Mus musculus: one gene and its partner. Each later gene encodes a partner of the first gene's protein in a complex. Links are inferred from orthologs where the notes say so. Each region holds a gene or a part of one and is shown on either strand. Other genes may lie near its edges.

What was found.
Region 2: Chd4 (region 1) and Mta2 share a complex: the UniProt entries of both Homo sapiens proteins name them as parts of the nucleosome remodeling and deacetylase (NuRD) repressor complex. The link is inferred for Mus musculus from reciprocal best matches to the Homo sapiens genes CHD4 and MTA2.

What each region holds. Positions count from the first base shown.
Region 1 is NC_000072.6:125,126,930-125,131,104, reverse strand, and holds the end of Chd4 (chromodomain-helicase-DNA-binding protein 4), read right to left. Parts: intron 2,314-4,175; coding exon 2,118-2,313; coding exon of another isoform or gene 2,115-2,117; intron 1,286-2,114; coding exon 1,104-1,285; 3' UTR 514-1,103; downstream 1-513. UniProt on the Homo sapiens protein: ATP-dependent chromatin-remodeling factor that binds and distorts nucleosomal DNA. Acts as a component of the histone deacetylase NuRD complex which participates in the remodeling of chromatin.
Region 2 is NC_000085.6:8,944,883-8,948,446, forward strand, and holds part of Mta2 (metastasis-associated protein MTA2), read left to right. Parts: intron 1-873; coding exon 874-991; intron 992-1,123; coding exon 1,124-1,187; intron 1,188-1,384; coding exon 1,385-1,502; intron 1,503-1,765; coding exon 1,766-1,868; intron 1,869-2,154; coding exon 2,155-2,254; intron 2,255-2,369; coding exon 2,370-2,558; intron 2,559-2,642; coding exon 2,643-2,717; intron 2,718-2,844; coding exon 2,845-2,903; intron 2,904-3,142; coding exon 3,143-3,240; intron 3,241-3,374; coding exon 3,375-3,514; intron 3,515-3,564. UniProt on the Homo sapiens protein: May function as a transcriptional coregulator. Acts as a component of the histone deacetylase NuRD complex which participates in the remodeling of chromatin.

The sequences.
Region 1 (4,175 bases):
TCTTCTGGTGTGTCTGAAGTGTACTCATATATAATAATAAATAAATCTTCAAACAAAAAAAAAGTGATAACAATAAACCAAGGAAAAAATTTTAGGGTACGGTAACATCCTTAATTCCCCCACTTGAGAGGCAGGGGCAGGCAGTAGTTACTTAGACCCTCAAAAAATTTATACTTAAGGTAACACATCCTTAATTCCCCCACTTGAGAGGCAGGGGCAGGCAGTTGTTACTTAGACCCTCAAAAAATTTATACTTCTATAATTACATATTCACGCATATGTATTCCATGGTAGAACACTTGCCCAATGTCTTCACAACTGTACCAGGCAAGTGGCTACTTCCTGCAGGAGTGCTCTGCGAACAGTTTGCTAAAGATCAGAGCCTATAAACAATGGTCCAGAAGCCTCTTGTTCGCCAGAATGTCACCCTGTCAGGAGCACAGGCAGTCTTCCAGGATAAGCCAGTTCCTGGGGTACCTGGAACCCACACTCACCCACACAGAACCAGATCACTAAAATACAAGGAAACTTTTATTTTCAGTTCTCATCAAGAAATTTGCTGTGGTTTTTTATGCTTTTGGTTCTTTTTCTTTTTTTTTTTTTTTCCAACTTTATTTAGCTGCTCAGTGGCTGGAGCCGCTGGGTTCCTGGTATTAAAAAGATGCCAACAGAGGTAGCTGTGTCTCGCCCAGGGGCCCGGCCCACTCTGAATACCCCCCAAAAAGGAGAAAACACAAAGTAAACCAACAAAATAAAACCAAAAAGAGGAAGAAATTCAGATCATTTTCTTCGAGCCTGGCAGAATCCACAACAGTTTGTAACAGGCGCACGGTGGGGAGAAGCCAGGGTCCAGAAGGCAGCCAGCCCGCCAGCTCCTGCACATGGCGGGCGGGCGCTGCGCTACTGCTGCTTGTCTCTCCAGCAGGAAGGGCACCATTGCTTCTCCCTCCCTCCCTGCCCCACTGCGCAGGGCTGTTCCTTTACAACTCAGAAGATGGGCAGAAGGAAGGCAAGGGTCTCTCTGGCCCCCAGGGGCAGCCGGGACAAGAGAAAGTGAGGAAGGTCACTGCTGAGTGGTGGAGGTGGATATCACTCTGGGTCTTTCACTGCTGCTGGGCTACCTGCTGTGGGGGAGGTTCTGGCGCCCTGTTTGCCAGGCGGCTGAGAATGTTCCGCTCTGACATCTGTAACCTCACAGCGACTGGGGGGATGCGGGCAATGGTGGCTGGGAGCCGCGTCACATCAGCTTTCATGTCACTCAACAGTTCCTCCAGCTGTTTCAGGACTGCAGAGGGAAAAAGAAAGAAAGAGGCCGTGAGCTGTGGTAGTCAAGGGCACAGCTGTGGCCCACAGGGCTGGTTGTCACGCTGGCATACACAGGATACGCTCTTGACACTCGCTTTACCTGGCCTGCCCACCCAGCTATTCCTCCCATTCTAGTTGCAAGTGGCTCTGGTCTCACATGTTGTCCAGGATGGCCTGAGACTTGAGCTCAGGTCCTGCTGTGTCTCTTGAGTCCCTGTGACTCTAGGCATCGGCCATCCACAGCTGGCGGATTCTTGTTTTTAAGAGCCACCAAACTTTAGTTCATTATTCCTTCTCACTATTGTCTCCATTTTCTTTTTCTTTCTTTCTTTTTTTTTTTTTTTTTTTTTTTTTTTTATATAAAAGGTTGGCTTCAAACTTCCTATGCAGCCAAGCATGAGCACATCTCATCGTGCTCCCGCCTCCAAGTGCTCCCAAGTTGGGAGCACAGCAAATGCCCACAGAGTTTTTATTCTCAGCCTTGGGCTCCTCCACTTGAGAGGCTCAGTTCCTACCATCTCCTCTCTGCATCCACACCTTTTTATATCCCCAATGTCCCCGGCTACCTTTATGACACCCACCTTTTCATTTCACCCCCCCCCCATAAAGCTATGCTCAAAATCTCAATAGACTTAAGAGTTCAAAGAAAATCGCTGTCCTCGATTGCCTGCAAAGAAAATCCCCTCAGCTCACATCCTAAGGTTCCACACAGGCTCGGCAGACAGTTTGGAAATAAGCTGTTTATGGATGTTGGGGAGGGGAGAGTGGAGGGGGAGGTGGAAGGAGCAGGAGGCAGGGGAGCCACTGGCGACCTTTGTGTAGGACTGCATTGGCCGGCTTATTCCCTGCCATCGACTCCTTGGACAGGTGCTGGTGACTTTCTGCCAAACACTCCACCTCAGCGAAGCGGGTGTTAAGGGCCATAGACGGGTGAGAGGGGTCCTCGGACATGTTCAGGTAAGCTGCCCTGCGAAGCTGCTCCTCGATCACCAGGGCTTGTTCTAAGAGCTGCACACGGAGAAAGAAGACAGGGGTTGGACTGATGGCCACGTTCTCACTGACAGATTCATCTCTTCCTCCAGCTAGCAAGAATCTGTAAAGAAATGCCGGCCCCTCCACACTGTTCCTCACCCACGGACTTCAACAGGCCAGCACCTCCTACCCACTGGAGTCCACATTTCTCTCTCTCTCTCTCTCTCTTTTTTTTTTTTTTTTTTTTTTGTTTTTTGAGACAGAGTTTCTCTGTGTAGCCCTGGCTGTCCTGGAACTCACTTTGTAGACCAGGCTGGCCTTGAACTCAGAAATCTGCCTGCCTCTGTCTCCCAAGTGCTAGAATTAAAGGCATGTGCCACCACGCCCGGCTGGAGTCCACATTTTTAACACTGTATTTTATGTATGAGTATGCAGGACCTCTGGAAGAGGAACCAGTGTTCTTAACTACTGAGCATCTCTCCAGCCCTGGAGGTCCACACTTTTTAGATTCTCAGAGAAATCGTAAGGACTCAACTTAGAAAACATACAATTTATATAGAATTATGGACTGGCAAGATGGCTCAGAGAGTAAAGGCCGTGCAGCAAAGCCTAAGCACCTGCATTTGATGCCCAGAACCACATGGGGCAAGAACACCAACTACTGCCGGGCATGGTACGCCTCTAATCCCAGCACTTGGGAGGCAGAGACAGGCGGATTTCTGAGTTTGAGGCCAGCCTGGTCTACAAAGTGAGTTCCAGGACAGCCAGGGCTTCACAGAGAAACCTTGTCTCAAAACAAAAACAAAAACCAAACCAAACCAAAACCAAAACCAAAACCAAAAAAAAGAACACTAACTACCACAAGTTGTCCTCTGACCTCTTACACAGGCTCGTGCAGCCCAAGCCTCAGACTCACAGCTGTAAGTACATAACGCCACAGATAATCATTCCTGCGAAGCATGTTAGTATTTTGTTAATTTTTTCCAATTTTTTCTATGTATACAACTTTTACATGACAAGAGTCACATTATATTCATGACCATATATCTGAAATACATACTAGATATTCCTTTTGTCCTTCAAAACCATGGGAGTGACAGGTATAATTTTGACTCTCAAATACCTGGGAACAGCTGGAGCTGTAGGCAAAATCCAAAAACCACTACTAACAAAAGTAGTTGTTATTTGAGGCAGCATCTGAGTCTGTAGCTCTGTGTAGCCTGAAACTCACTTGTAGACCAGGCTGGCCTCAAACTGGCTAGAATCCACTTATCCAACTGCTAGGATTAAAGGAAAAATGTTTTTTTTTTTTTAAGAGACAGGGTTTCTCTGTGTAACAGAGCCCTGGCCATCCTGAAACTGGATTTGCAGACCAGGTTAGCCTTGAACTAACTCAGAGATTCACCTGCCTCTGCCTCCTGAGTGGTAGGACTAAAGGCATGCACCATTACACCCAGCTTTTTCTTAATAGTGGCATAGTCACCTGGCCTATGGAATCAATCAGGTTATCTGGGTTTCTTTAAAAAAATAAAATGCAGTCTCAAAAACCCAACGCTGTCGGGCAGTTGTGGCACATGCCTTTAATCCTAGCACCTGGGAGGGAGAGGCAGGCAATTTCTGAGTTCTAGGCCAGCCTGGTCTACAAAGTGAGTTCCAGGAAAGCCAGGGCTGCACAGAGAAACCCAGTCTTGAAAAAACAAAAAACAAAACCAACAAACAAACCCAACGCTGGCCTTGAACTCACAATGTGGCCAAGTAACAACTTTAAATTCCTGTTCTTCCTGCCTGTGAGATCCTATGTGCTGATTACAGGCAGGCACCACATGCTGCTTTATGAGGTGTGCTGGCTTTGTGTCTTCTAGCTAAGCTCTGTAACAACTGAGCTATATCTCCAATCC
Region 2 (3,564 bases), on another chromosome or scaffold:
GGCTGCAGTCATGAAAGGGTTAATGAACTGGGCCTACCAAGTTTCCTGGCCCTTTGGGGTTTCCGGCTCCATCTGGCAGGGGCTGACCTTGGCCTTATCCAATCAGAAGGGGTAGGGGTGTGGTTCTTTTTGCCCTACCTCTGGGTTTTCCTAGAGCACAGAGAGACACGGACACCCCCACCCCAAATCTGTACCCCCATTTTTCAGGGGAACAATGCACCGATGAGCATGTGCCTGAGGTTTCTGTCTTCTACTTTGGTTGGCACTTAGCCAGGTTAACTGTTTCTACGGAGATTTCAGTGCAGGCCTCTTGGTGCCTCTTGGTGAGGAAGGTGTTGGCACTGGTTTCAGAGTTGCCCTTCTTGAAAGCCCACAAACTATTATTAGCCAAGTAGAAAGAGAAGGAGCATTAGGTTGCATGTGATGTTTCAGACACAGCAAGGAGTCCTGAAGTATGAAGAGGAGCTGGTAAATAAACAGCGACCATGTGTGCTATTTTTACTTCTTCTTAACTGGATTTTAGGACCTCGGACTGGTTGTGCAAGAAAGAGCTAAATATGATGTCACACTGTATTATGGCTCTGTTTGTGCTTTCTGCGTGTTGGCAGCTAGGGTTGGGTGCATTTCTGTGGTATCCTTATACTCTCACAGTATAAGGATGGGATAATTCCTTTGACGGAATTAAAGAGAGGATGGAACATCTACACTGAGGTGTAAGGCCGAAAGGGGGGGCTGGTAGGATAAGAGTGAGCTGCCCGAGGAAAGCAGTGCTGGGCAGCAGCTGAGGTAGGCTCTCCTTTACCAGACTAGCTAGCTGGCTAAGGTACCTGTTTCTGAATTAGTTTATGACTTGGTTTTTCCTCACTATTCTAGGGGAGTTTGAGGAGGAATCAAAACAGCCAGGGGTCTCCGAGCAGCAGAGACATCAACTGAAGCACCGAGAGCTTTTTCTTTCTCGGCAGTTTGAATCATTACCAGCCACCCACATAAGGTATAGGACGATCAGGGTCACTGTGGTCTATGTGCCCTTGTTTAGAAGATGGAGAGAAGGGGGTGGTGTATTGGAGATGGCAGGTAAGGAGGGCTGCTCATCCAGGACTTTTGGGTTTGTCCTTTTTCTTAGGGGGAAGTGCAGCGTGACTCTCTTGAACGAGACAGACATCTTAAACCAGTATCTAGACAAGGAGGTGAGGAGCTGTTGGGATAAGAGGGAGGTGAGAGAATGTTGCCCCTAAAGGCAAGTGAGGTGGTAAAGGGGCCACGGACCTCACAGCCGTGTGTGTGTGTGTGTGTGTGTGTCTGTGTGTCTGTGTGTGTCTGTGTCTGGAGAGACCTTACTGTCCATGCAGATTCCTTCCCACTAACCTCCTCTCTTCCTCTTCAGGACTGCTTTTTTTACTCACTGGTGTTTGATCCTGTGCAGAAGACACTTCTGGCTGATCAAGGGGAGATCAGAGTTGGTTGCAAATTCCAAGCTGAGATCCCAGATCGTTTGGCAGAGGGTAAGCAACAGAACAAGAAGTGCTTGAACATGAAAGTTTCTGTTGATAGCTTGATTTGGGGTACCAGTGTGGAATCTGCTAGGTGTTGTGTTGTGGCTCTGACAGGGTGAGACTTAGGAACATGAGAGAGACAAGTGGGCACAGCTGGGAGGGGAGTTCTGAGGTCTGATAGACTCCAAGCAGAGCAGAGGAAAAAGAGCCATTGTGAGTGACTATGAGTTATTTCCCTCTCTCCCTCCGTGGTGATTCTGTTGTTTCCTCAGGAGAATCAGATAATCGAAACCAACAGAAGATGGAGATGAAAGTCTGGGACCCAGACAACCCTCTCACAGACCGGCAGATTGATCAGTTTCTCGTGGTGGCCCGGTGAGGGTGGGTGGATCAGGAAGGTGGGCTGGGGAGGAATGGACTGAGTTCTGCGTCTCATCCAATTTCTTTCTTTCTTTCTTTCTTTCTTTCTTTCTTTCTTTCTTTCTTTCTTTCTTTCTCTCTCTCTCTCTCTCTCTCTCTCTCTCTCTTTCTTTCTTTCTTTTTTTTTTTTTTTAAAGTGGGCTTTGTTTTAGGCCTGGGCATTTTCTTTTTCTAATTAGTTCCTGAACCTGCTTGAATTTTGAAGGGGAGAACCCTTCTTGACTTCTCAATCTCTCTTTAGAGCTGTGGGAACCTTCGCGAGAGCCCTAGACTGCAGCAGCTCAATTCGGCAGCCAAGCTTGCACATGAGTGCAGCTGCTGCGTCCCGAGATATCACTCTGGTAAGTGCCAGCTGATAGATAGTTGGGCGTGTTGAGGCAGGAGAGGAGGGCGGGAGTCCTGAAGAAGGTGCTTAAAGAGTAGCAAGTCCTTAGCTTTGTTCTATATTTTTGGTAGTTCCATGCCATGGATACCTTGCAAAGGAATGGCTATGACTTGGCCAAGGCTATGTCAACCCTAGTACCACAGGGAGGCCCGGTGCTCTGTCGGGATGAGATGGAGGAATGGTCTGCTTCTGAAGCCATGCTGTTTGAAGAGGCTCTGGAGAAGTACGGGAAGGATTTCAATGATATCCGCCAGGACTTTGTAAGTGAACAGGACTAGGAGGAGGGAGAACGACGATGGAGCTAGGATCACATGCCATCTCATCCTGTTTGCTGTTCTTTTTAGCTACCCTGGAAGTCACTTGCAAGCATAGTCCAGTTTTATTACATGTGGAAAACCACAGACCGGTATATTCAGCAGGTATGGGTCAGGCTGGCTGGGAGGCTGGACCAGAGGCTATCTGCTTACCTCTCTGCTGTTTCTTTTGTTTGATTTCAATTTGTACTGAGATGCTCTGAATTTCTTTCTGTTTTTCTCCTTCTTACAGAAAAGATTGAAAGCTGCTGAAGCAGACAGCAAACTGAAACAGGTCTACATCCCCACTTAGTAAGTGTGGCAGAAAGGGAGATGGTGTCTTCCTTAATGATTGGGGGTAACCAGGAAGCAGAAGCAATTGTAGAAGCTGTAGCTCAGTGAGAAGCATGGGCTTAGTATGCACAAGGCTGTAGGCTTAATCCCCAGAACTCCAGAGAGTCGGAAATAGAAAGTAAAGTGGTGGTAAGAGAGACACAAGTGGGTTGTTTTCTTAACTAGCTTCTGTCTTCTCCTCTTGTTTCGTTCATTAGTACCAAGCCAAACCCTAACCAGATCATTTCTGTGGGTTCAAAACCTGGCATGAATGGGGCTGGATTCCAGAAGGGCCTGACTTGTGAGAGCTGCCACAGTGAGTTCCAAGGGGGGACAGGGTTGCTGGGGATAGGTGGTCCTAGGGTGGCTTATTCTCTGTCCTGGGAATTTGAGGATCTTGGGTGGCATATTTCCTGCCAGCAAATTTCCCTTCTCTCTCTACTCTTGTAGCCACACAGTCTGCCCAGTGGTATGCCTGGGGACCCCCTAACATGCAGTGCCGACTTTGTGCTTCCTGTTGGATTTATTGGAAGAAATACGGGGGACTGAAGACCCCTACCCAACTTGAAGGGGCTGCTCGGGGCACCACAGTAAGAATCAGTGGGTGGGAACTTGGCATGGTGACTGAGGCAGGTGGGTG